Mus musculus: one gene and its partners. The protein of the gene in region 1 purifies or fractionates together with the protein of each later gene. This does not show direct contact. Links are inferred from orthologs where the notes say so. Each region holds a gene or a part of one and is shown on either strand. Other genes may lie near its edges.

Evidence for each region. The genes of interacting proteins can lie anywhere in the genome.
Region 2: the proteins of Crkl (region 1) and Nedd9 purify together in Homo sapiens (affinity purification with western blotting; 4 studies listed by BioGRID). This does not show direct contact. The link is inferred for Mus musculus from reciprocal best matches to the Homo sapiens genes CRKL and NEDD9.
Region 3: the proteins of Crkl (region 1) and Rapgef1 purify together in Homo sapiens (affinity purification with western blotting; 16 studies listed by BioGRID and IntAct, with this or other methods). This does not show direct contact. The link is inferred for Mus musculus from reciprocal best matches to the Homo sapiens genes CRKL and RAPGEF1.

Annotation. Positions count from the first base shown.
Region 1 is NC_000082.6:17,482,921-17,485,476, reverse strand, and holds part of Crkl (crk-like protein), read right to left. Parts: intron 1,817-2,556; coding exon 1,682-1,816; 3' UTR 1-1,681. UniProt on the Homo sapiens protein: May mediate the transduction of intracellular signals.
Region 2 is NC_000079.6:41,311,685-41,314,055, forward strand, and holds part of Nedd9 (enhancer of filamentation 1), read right to left. Parts: intron 487-2,371; coding exon 1-486. UniProt on the Homo sapiens protein: Scaffolding protein which plays a central coordinating role for tyrosine-kinase-based signaling related to cell adhesion. As a focal adhesion protein, plays a role in embryonic fibroblast migration.
Region 3 is NC_000068.7:29,737,738-29,740,887, reverse strand, and holds the end of Rapgef1 (rap guanine nucleotide exchange factor 1), read right to left. Parts: intron 2,969-3,150; coding exon 2,818-2,968; 3' UTR 525-2,817; downstream 1-524. UniProt on the Homo sapiens protein: Guanine nucleotide-releasing protein that binds to SH3 domain of CRK and GRB2/ASH. Transduces signals from CRK to activate RAS. Involved in cell branching and adhesion mediated by BCAR1-CRK-RAPGEF1 signaling and activation of RAP1.

The DNA.
Region 1 (2,556 bases):
GGACCCAGGTTCAATTCCTAGAACCCACAGAGTAACTCCACAGTTCCAGAGGATCCAACCAACACCCTTTTCTGGCCTCCTAACAAACTACCCATGTGATACACATACATACATGTAGTGGAAACACCCATATACAGTTTTTTTTGGGGGGAGGTCTGAGGGGGGGATTGGGCCATCTTCTGATACAAGGTATGTATGTAGGCCTGCCTGTCCTGTGACACACTACATAGATCAGGATAGCCTTGAACTCTCAGAGATCCACTTGCCTTTGCCTTTCTGAGTACTGGGATTAAAGGTGTGTCCACCATGCCCAACATAAACAAAAATTTAAAGTCTTTAAGAGAAATAAATATAGTGGACAAAGGGTTTTGTTGGTTTTGTCACCTGAATATGTTCCATTAGTTCTCAAAGCCTCAGGCCTGCAGAACCAGGGCCATGGTTACAGAAGATATTCTGTAAATGCTAGAGCTGCTCACTAGCCACTACTCCATCTCTAGGTCTGCTACGTTCGTTCTGTGTGGAGGTGTATCCTCATCAGGGTCCAACTGAAAAGAGTGCACTCTAGAAAGGTTCTAGAGCTCTGGTTTGCCATGTGTGGATGAGGGATCAGACACATATCTGTAGTAGCTGACATGCAAGGAAAAATGGCTCATGATCGAGGGGCGTCTTCTTTTGCTCAGAAGCACTGTATTCTGGTTCTACTCAGGCTGTGGAACCAGAACAGACACCACTCTCAAGCTGCCTGGACAAGCTAGGTCAGTACAGGAAGGGCTGGGTGGCCTCTGTGGTGGAACACAGCAATGCAATTTAACTCACGGATCTAGTAAGCCCACAGACTTCAAACGTTTTCACTGAAGAGGCCCACCCTGTCTGCTCCTGTCAGAGGCAGCGATGACAGCAGGCCCACCCCCACCTTGGTGCTTCACAGCAAGGTACACCATGACTGCTGCTGTGCACTGTTTGCCACATGGTAAACAAGGTACTGTGGCAACCAAAAGATAAAGGCCCCTGGAGGGGGTCTTTTCCTATTTTAGTTACGTACAGTGGCTTCAGTTTGGAAGCTCAGAGACATGGATTGTTCCTTAGACCATCATAGACCAACCTACTATTTAAAAATCTGTTCAGAACACACAACTATAATTAATTAGTCTTCCAAAAAACAAAACTAAACAAAAGAAAATGAAAACCAGCCAGACTTGAGGAGTTCGGGACAGAATTGTCTGGAGTTTTACTTCCTCTGTCGTCCAAAGAAAACTGAGTTGGTGGCAAAACCACTGTTCTGTGGACCAGCAAAGCGAGACCTTGCCAAGCCTCACCGTCTCCATGCAGACCATCAGCAGGCTTGCTTGCTCTCTCTGTCAGCCTCCAGTACAAACAAGGCAGTGATGGATGGGAAGGAAGAGCTGCTCTGGGTTCCAGTCTCTACTGTGTGCTTCCACCAGTGTTTCCAGTTCACAATCCACAAGAACTCTAAATCAGCTACTCTTTGACAGCATGACTATGATACAAATGCCGAGCCAGCGAGCAAGGCAGCTGCTGAGGCATTCCGTATGTGCAGGGACTGCCAATGTATGGAAAGCTGACCGCCAGCAGCTCGGTGTAACTTGCATGTGACAGAGTGCTTCCCACTTCAAAGGAGACTGACAGGCAGAAGGAGGCAGCAGCAGGGACAGCACAGCAATCACTCGTTGTCATCGGGGTTCTGAGGGTCAAAGATTTTAACATGTGTGAAGGGGAAAAGCCCCTTGCGCCCATTCACCTCGCCTTCCCATTGGCCATTGATATTCATCCTTGTGACTTTCACAATGTCACCAACCTGTAAGGGAAGAGGGAAAGAAAACAAAATTAGCATCACTACAAACAAGGAAGACAGTTTACATTAAATCACAAACACTGTCTATACAAAAATCAAGTAGTACAAAGACACGAGATGCCACCAACCACCCAGGATACCTGTCGCTGGCAAAAACTCAGGAAGCAGCCTCTGAACACAGAGCAGCCACTCCCTCCAGCGTTACTAATAAATGGACATGTATGAGCATCCAACTCTAAGAACGTGCATGTTAAGCTGAATAAAAGGGTAAGAAGTGCGGACTGGTGGCACATACCTTCAATCCCAGTCTTTGGGAGGCAGAGGCAGGCAGATCTCTGAGTCAGCCTCATGGACAGAGCGAGTTCCAGGACAGCCAATGGCTTACACAGAGCAACCCTGTCTTGGGAGGAAAGTGGGAAGTAGCCAGGTGTGGTGCTTATAATCCCCACAGACAACACACAGGAGGCTAAGAGGACCTTCAGTTTGAGACCAGCACGGACTTAATAAAACCATCTTGCTCTGACAGTATATTTATGTAAAACTGAAATGATACAGAGATAATTAGCATGACCCCTGCACAAATGTGTTAAAGCATTTCATACTAAAAGACCACTACAGCAAACAAAAACAATCTAGAGCTGGTGAGAAGTTCCGTGGGAGAAGGCGTTGAAGTGCTTGCCATGACAATGTAAGGGTTTGAATTTCATCTCCAGAATGCATGAAAAAGGACAGACATGGTGACA
Region 2 (2,371 bases), on another chromosome or scaffold:
GGAACGCTTAAACAGCTGAGCATTTCTGGACAGGTCTGTCACCTGGTGCACCATTTCCTGCAAGGCGGTGGTACTGGGGTAGTGGAGGGCGGCCATTTTGGTCGCCATCACTATCGTCTTGAGCTGTTCGCAGAGCTGGTTGCTGGAGTTCCTGACTTTGTTGCGAATGTCCTGGGCAGCCACCTGCCTTGTCAGAGTGTCTCCAATGAACACCAGTTTGTGCGCACTAAGAATGACAAACTTGCTGTGCGCCACAAAGATCCGTGGGGGTTGGGCTGAGCTGACGCAGCTGAAGAGGGCGTCGATGGCGTTGAGTAGGGAAATGAAATGGGTCTCGCACTGGTCATAGTAGAAGCAAAGCAACTGCCTATCCTGAGCACCCACACTGTTGTTGGTGGTTGGGAGGCTCTGAGAGGGCTTCCATTTAGAGATGTCATTCTCCACAGGCTTGGTGATCTCTTGTTCCAACAGCTGGAACTGACTCAGCTAAAAGGAAGAGAACAGGTTTCATTAAGGGCAAGGCATACATTGTAAAGGGAAAGAAATATGGGTGTGGGGTCAAAAGATATCAGCTTCATCTTTAGTAGATGCCAGGTACCTAGGAGCTGTGAGACCTTATCCAGGATGCCTTGCTTCCTAAATTGTGCAACGTGGACACTGGGAAGAGGATCCCTAGGGGATCCTCCAGCATAGATCTTCTGTTATGACACCATTTGTCTTTTTTTGCACTCTAACTGGAAGGCAACAGCCTTACCTTCTAAGGCCATTATGAGGGCTCAATAAAATACTATTATTCACAAAGTGAATATTATCATTATTATTCGCAAAGTGTTTGTACCGGTGTTTGGTGAGTTGTAGGCTCTATTTAATTTTTTTTAAAATAATGTTGGGAGGCAGCAAGGGAAAAGCAGATGTAGTGACCTTTCTGTTTGTTACTTCCTGGGTAAGGCCTTTCTTCAAGATGGAAAGTTCATGAAGATTCTCTCTCCTATTTGCACTGTTAAGATGGACACATTGTGGTCTGTTACTGCCGAGAACTCTTAGAAATGGCGTAGGGAAAATGACACAACAAAGAAATCTCAGCATTTCTAATTTGCCGTATTTTATAGCATGCATGTGTAGGTCAGAGGACTCTTCATGGGTGCTGGTTCTCTTCTCCTGTGTGGTTTCTAAGACTCCAACTCCGGTCATCAGGGTGGCAATAAGTGCCCTTACACAGAACCATCTCAACAGTCCTAGGACCAGATTTCTTGATGCTATCATTAGCATCCCTAACTGGACTGTTCTTTCGAATAGAAATGATAATTTCTAGCTATGTTACTAAGAATACTGATTTTGGGAGTCAGTTAATCTTTCATCCTGACTCAGAGCCGAGTCAGCTCAGGGACACCCTCATCTTGCTTCCTTGCTAAGAAGTGCATAGTCGATTTTCTATTCCATGGAAACTACTTGCTTCCTAGGAATTACCTTAGTGTCCGCTAGCTTTCCCAAACTCTGCTGTCCTATTGGGCCGACTGCCAATATAAGCATAGCAGATACAGGGTGGTGTCTTAATATTATTTGATAATTATGAATTTGATTTCAAATCATGTGTCTGTAGAGGGTAGTACTTTTCCATTTTATCGAGAGGGAACTGGCCCATTACAGTGATGTTCAAGTCTACACAGCTGTTGGCTGGAAAACTCTGATTTGCTAGAGACATCTTGTCACTTCATGTTGTGATATGCCATTTCATTTCATCTTAAAGTGCATATAAATCTTTAGTCCATTTCTCTTTGTTTTCGTATCCTTGGCTTCACAATACCTAGCCTTACCTGCTATACAAACTAAACCTTTGAGTGAACACCCCCTGCTCAGAACTCTTGGTAAATGGACTTATATATGTCTGATAGACATTGGCTCCTTCCCTCTGACCCTTAGACTGGACCATACAAAAGACAGGGAGAGGGGTGGGGTCTAGGGGAGAGTTAGACTCAAACTCTCTTAGGAGTTTGATAAGCACAAAAGGGAGTTGACCATTATCTAAGGAATCCTAGATGAAGTGACATCTACAGAGGTTTTGAAGTTGGGCTCAATGCACACACCTGCAAGGCCAATAGTCAAAAGGTTGAGGCAGGAGAATACCAACTTTGAAACCAGCCTGGACTGCATTGTGAAAACTTATCTCAAAGCATTACAGAATACCACAAAGCCCTATAGGAAGGGCTTTGAGTGGCCATTTATGAGTCAAAGTTATATGTGAACCGAGTGAAGTGATTGGAGAAAATGTTGGAGAGTAGAGAAGAAGGCAGATACTGGAAGAGAACATCAAGAATACAGTCCTTGCTTTCTTTGGTTTTGGTTGCATCTCATTCCCTGGAATTCCCTTATT
Region 3 (3,150 bases), on another chromosome or scaffold:
GATTTGTAACTGGAGTTAGAAATTGTAGGTGCTGAGAATTGAACCCAGGTCTTCTGCAAGAGCAGCCAGTGTTCTTAACCGCTGAGCCATCCCTCCAGCCTGACTCCAGCTCTGTAGAGTCAGGTGCTGGCTGTGACCTCCTGGGTGTGGTACTTCATTCCCAGGGTCTGAGGACATCCATGGGTCTGAAAATCACTTGGTCTTCCTCAGCACTTGTATTCGGAAAGACAGAGGAATGAATGACCCTCAGGAGCACAGTGAAGGCAGAGTTTTAAAGCCACTCTCACAGGGTGGGGTGGCATGACTCCTGGGTGTGGATGGTGCTTGTGCATTTATTTCTATCCTTCCTGTGTGAATCTGTGTGTGGCCATCAGCATACCATTTGCAGGAGTCAGCTCTCTCCTGCACATGGGTTCCCAATGCCTACCAGAGCCCTCAGGCCCCACCGTACCCCTCCCCTCCACCTAGGTCACAAACAGCAGGGACTGGCCCGATGCAGATACAGAAGGCCTGGACACAGACATGGCATCAGATGGGCTTTTGTCTGTTTATTTTTCTTTCATATAAAAGTTGCGCGCTTGTTCTGTCTGTAGGAAGATGCACTGTCAGACAGGTTAGTGGGGGGTTTATATTACAGTGCCACACTGGGAGGCATGGAACAGGTGTCTCGGCTTAAGGGCCAGCCAGATCCGGTGTTTGCTTGCCTTACCCACAGGTAATGGCTGGCCTCTGCTGGGAACCCAACTGTCCATGTTGCTTAGTATGTATACAAAGACGAATCTTCACAGCTCTCCCAGACCCCACCACTAAGAAACAGACATGTGGAAGCCAGGCTGCCTGAACACTGGGCTCAGTCGCAGCCAGAGGCAGGTGACTGGGGAAGCCTGCTGGCTAATAAGTTAAACCCACACATCGCACCTCGATATCCCCACACGGAAACTCCAGAGCTGTCCTGGCTCTTGACTTAGTCTGCCTAAGGCTCCCAGGATCATAGGAGGGCCTGGTGATTCTGGGTCTAGAAGGTAAGCCCTCCTTTCTGCCCAGCTCATGCTTGGGAACCAGTAGACATAGACCATAGACCCACTCTGTTGGCTGCAGCACCAGTAGGCTAGGCCTCAGGTAGGCCTGTGCTACACAGGGAGGCTGCAGGGGCCTCTACAGCGCTGGGAGGAAGGACCTCATGTGCAGTGTTCCCCACTTGCACACAGCAGCACTTAGAGCTGGTGAAGGACAGGAAGCAGGGGCAAAGACTGAAATGAAAGGACCTGTAAAAGAGGAACAAACCAAAGACCCACATGACTGCTCACAAGCCGGACTCCACACACACACTCCTTAAACAATCCAATTCCGGCTGCCACCAGAGGGAGCTGACCAAGGGGCTGTTTACAGATGTCCCCTCTCTATTTACAGCACAAATAAACAGAAGAGGGGCCCACAGTTCTTATTTGATAAAAGCTGCTAAAAAAACAAACCCCGAAACCCAGGAGGGTTCAGAGTGACAGTTGTTTCAAACGAGTACCCGGCCAGCAGCTGCTGCTGTCTTTTCTTCTGCTCTGCGGACTGGTTGAGGAAGCAGAGATCCTGGTATTCGTTTGACCAAGCCCCACGACCAGAAGAAAAGGGAGCTTGTCCATGCAAAGCTAATTGGAGGTATGGTGCAGGGCCAGCAGCACCTCTGGATTCTGAACTGCACCCTGCCATTTAGCCCACAGTGGTGGCCACAGGGCCATGCCCAGGGAGATCCTAGCCCTGAGCCCTGAACAGATTGTCAACCTCAGCAGCAGGGGGTGGCTCTGCCACCTGTCTGGAATCAGGAAACCTCTGGAGGCCCTCACGTCCTAGGCCTGCTTAGACTTCTTGGGAACAGACACTCCCAGAGAGCAAACGGGGACTAGGAACCTGCTGGCTGCGGGGGGTGGGGCAAAATAGGAGGGAAGCCCACAGGCCTGGAAGGAACAGGAGATGGCATTTAAGGCACACAGCAAGCACGGAGGGGCTGCTTGCCTCTCCCTAGGTCACTGAAGATCCTTATTCACTCTCTGAAGCACAGTCTTGGCCCCAGCTCAGCATGAACTGTCCCTTCTGCCTCCTCTTCCCGATCCCCAGAGTACCGGTGATGTGGGCTGGGGCTGGGGCTGGGGCTGGGGCTGGACCAGTGGTGGGCGACAGGTGCTACTGGTGCTGCTGCTGTCAGCCCAGCAGGTGCCTTGGTTAGTGGCCGTGCATGGCAGGACAGAGCTGGGGCCACTGCTGTGAGAAGTGTCAGCTCTGTGGCTCTTGCCTACCACCCACCATACTTTCTGGGCCAGGTTGACATGCCTCTCCCTCCATGTTTAAAAAGCAGGAAGTGGGCAGCACAAGATGCCTGCGTGGTCCCTTTCTACCTTCTTCTGTCTCCCAGCCATAGCTCCCCTGGCTCCAGGGTCCCGGAGGGCAGTCTACCCAAGGGTCCTGGGGCCCCTACTTATCTGCCACTTAAGGAGGCTAGGGTGGCCTGGGGACAGTGAAGCCCGCCATTCCCCTGGTCTGCTGCTCAGGTGTCTGCTGCTCTCCAGCTGCAGGGGAGAGGAGGGAACAGGAGGGAGCACTGACAGAAAACAGAAAACAAAACCAGACCAGGGGCCACCAGTACACAAGCCAGCCCTGAGGCCTGCCAGCCAGCTCATTGTGAACCCTGGGACTTTAGCCATAGGGAAGGAGGCAGGAGACCGGCCAGGAGACTCAGGTGCTGCCACACAGCCAGGCATGGACAGGCTGAGGCTGGGATGGTCCAGGTCCTCTCCTGGCTGCTTGAGCGTTCTCACAGCCAGCCTGCTCCTAGGTCTTCTCTTCGCGGTCTGTTTTCCGCCTTGTTATGTTCCTAGGCTTGATCTTCAGAGAGAGTTCCCACAGGGCTTCCTCGGCCAGGTGGTCACTGAAGTCATTGAAGAAATTTATGATGTCGTCGTTTCTCCGGATTTCATAGTGCCTGGTGGGAGAGGGGCAGTCAGAGAGCCCAGGACTAGCTGAGTAGCCAGGCCAGAACCTCTCACAGGGTGGCTCCTCACAGCCATCTGCCTGGTAGGGTCACTGCTACCTAGCCCAAAGCGCTCAGTACCAGAAGAGTGTGGACAGCCCTCTCTGCGCGCCGGGCTCCAGCCAGTACAGCTC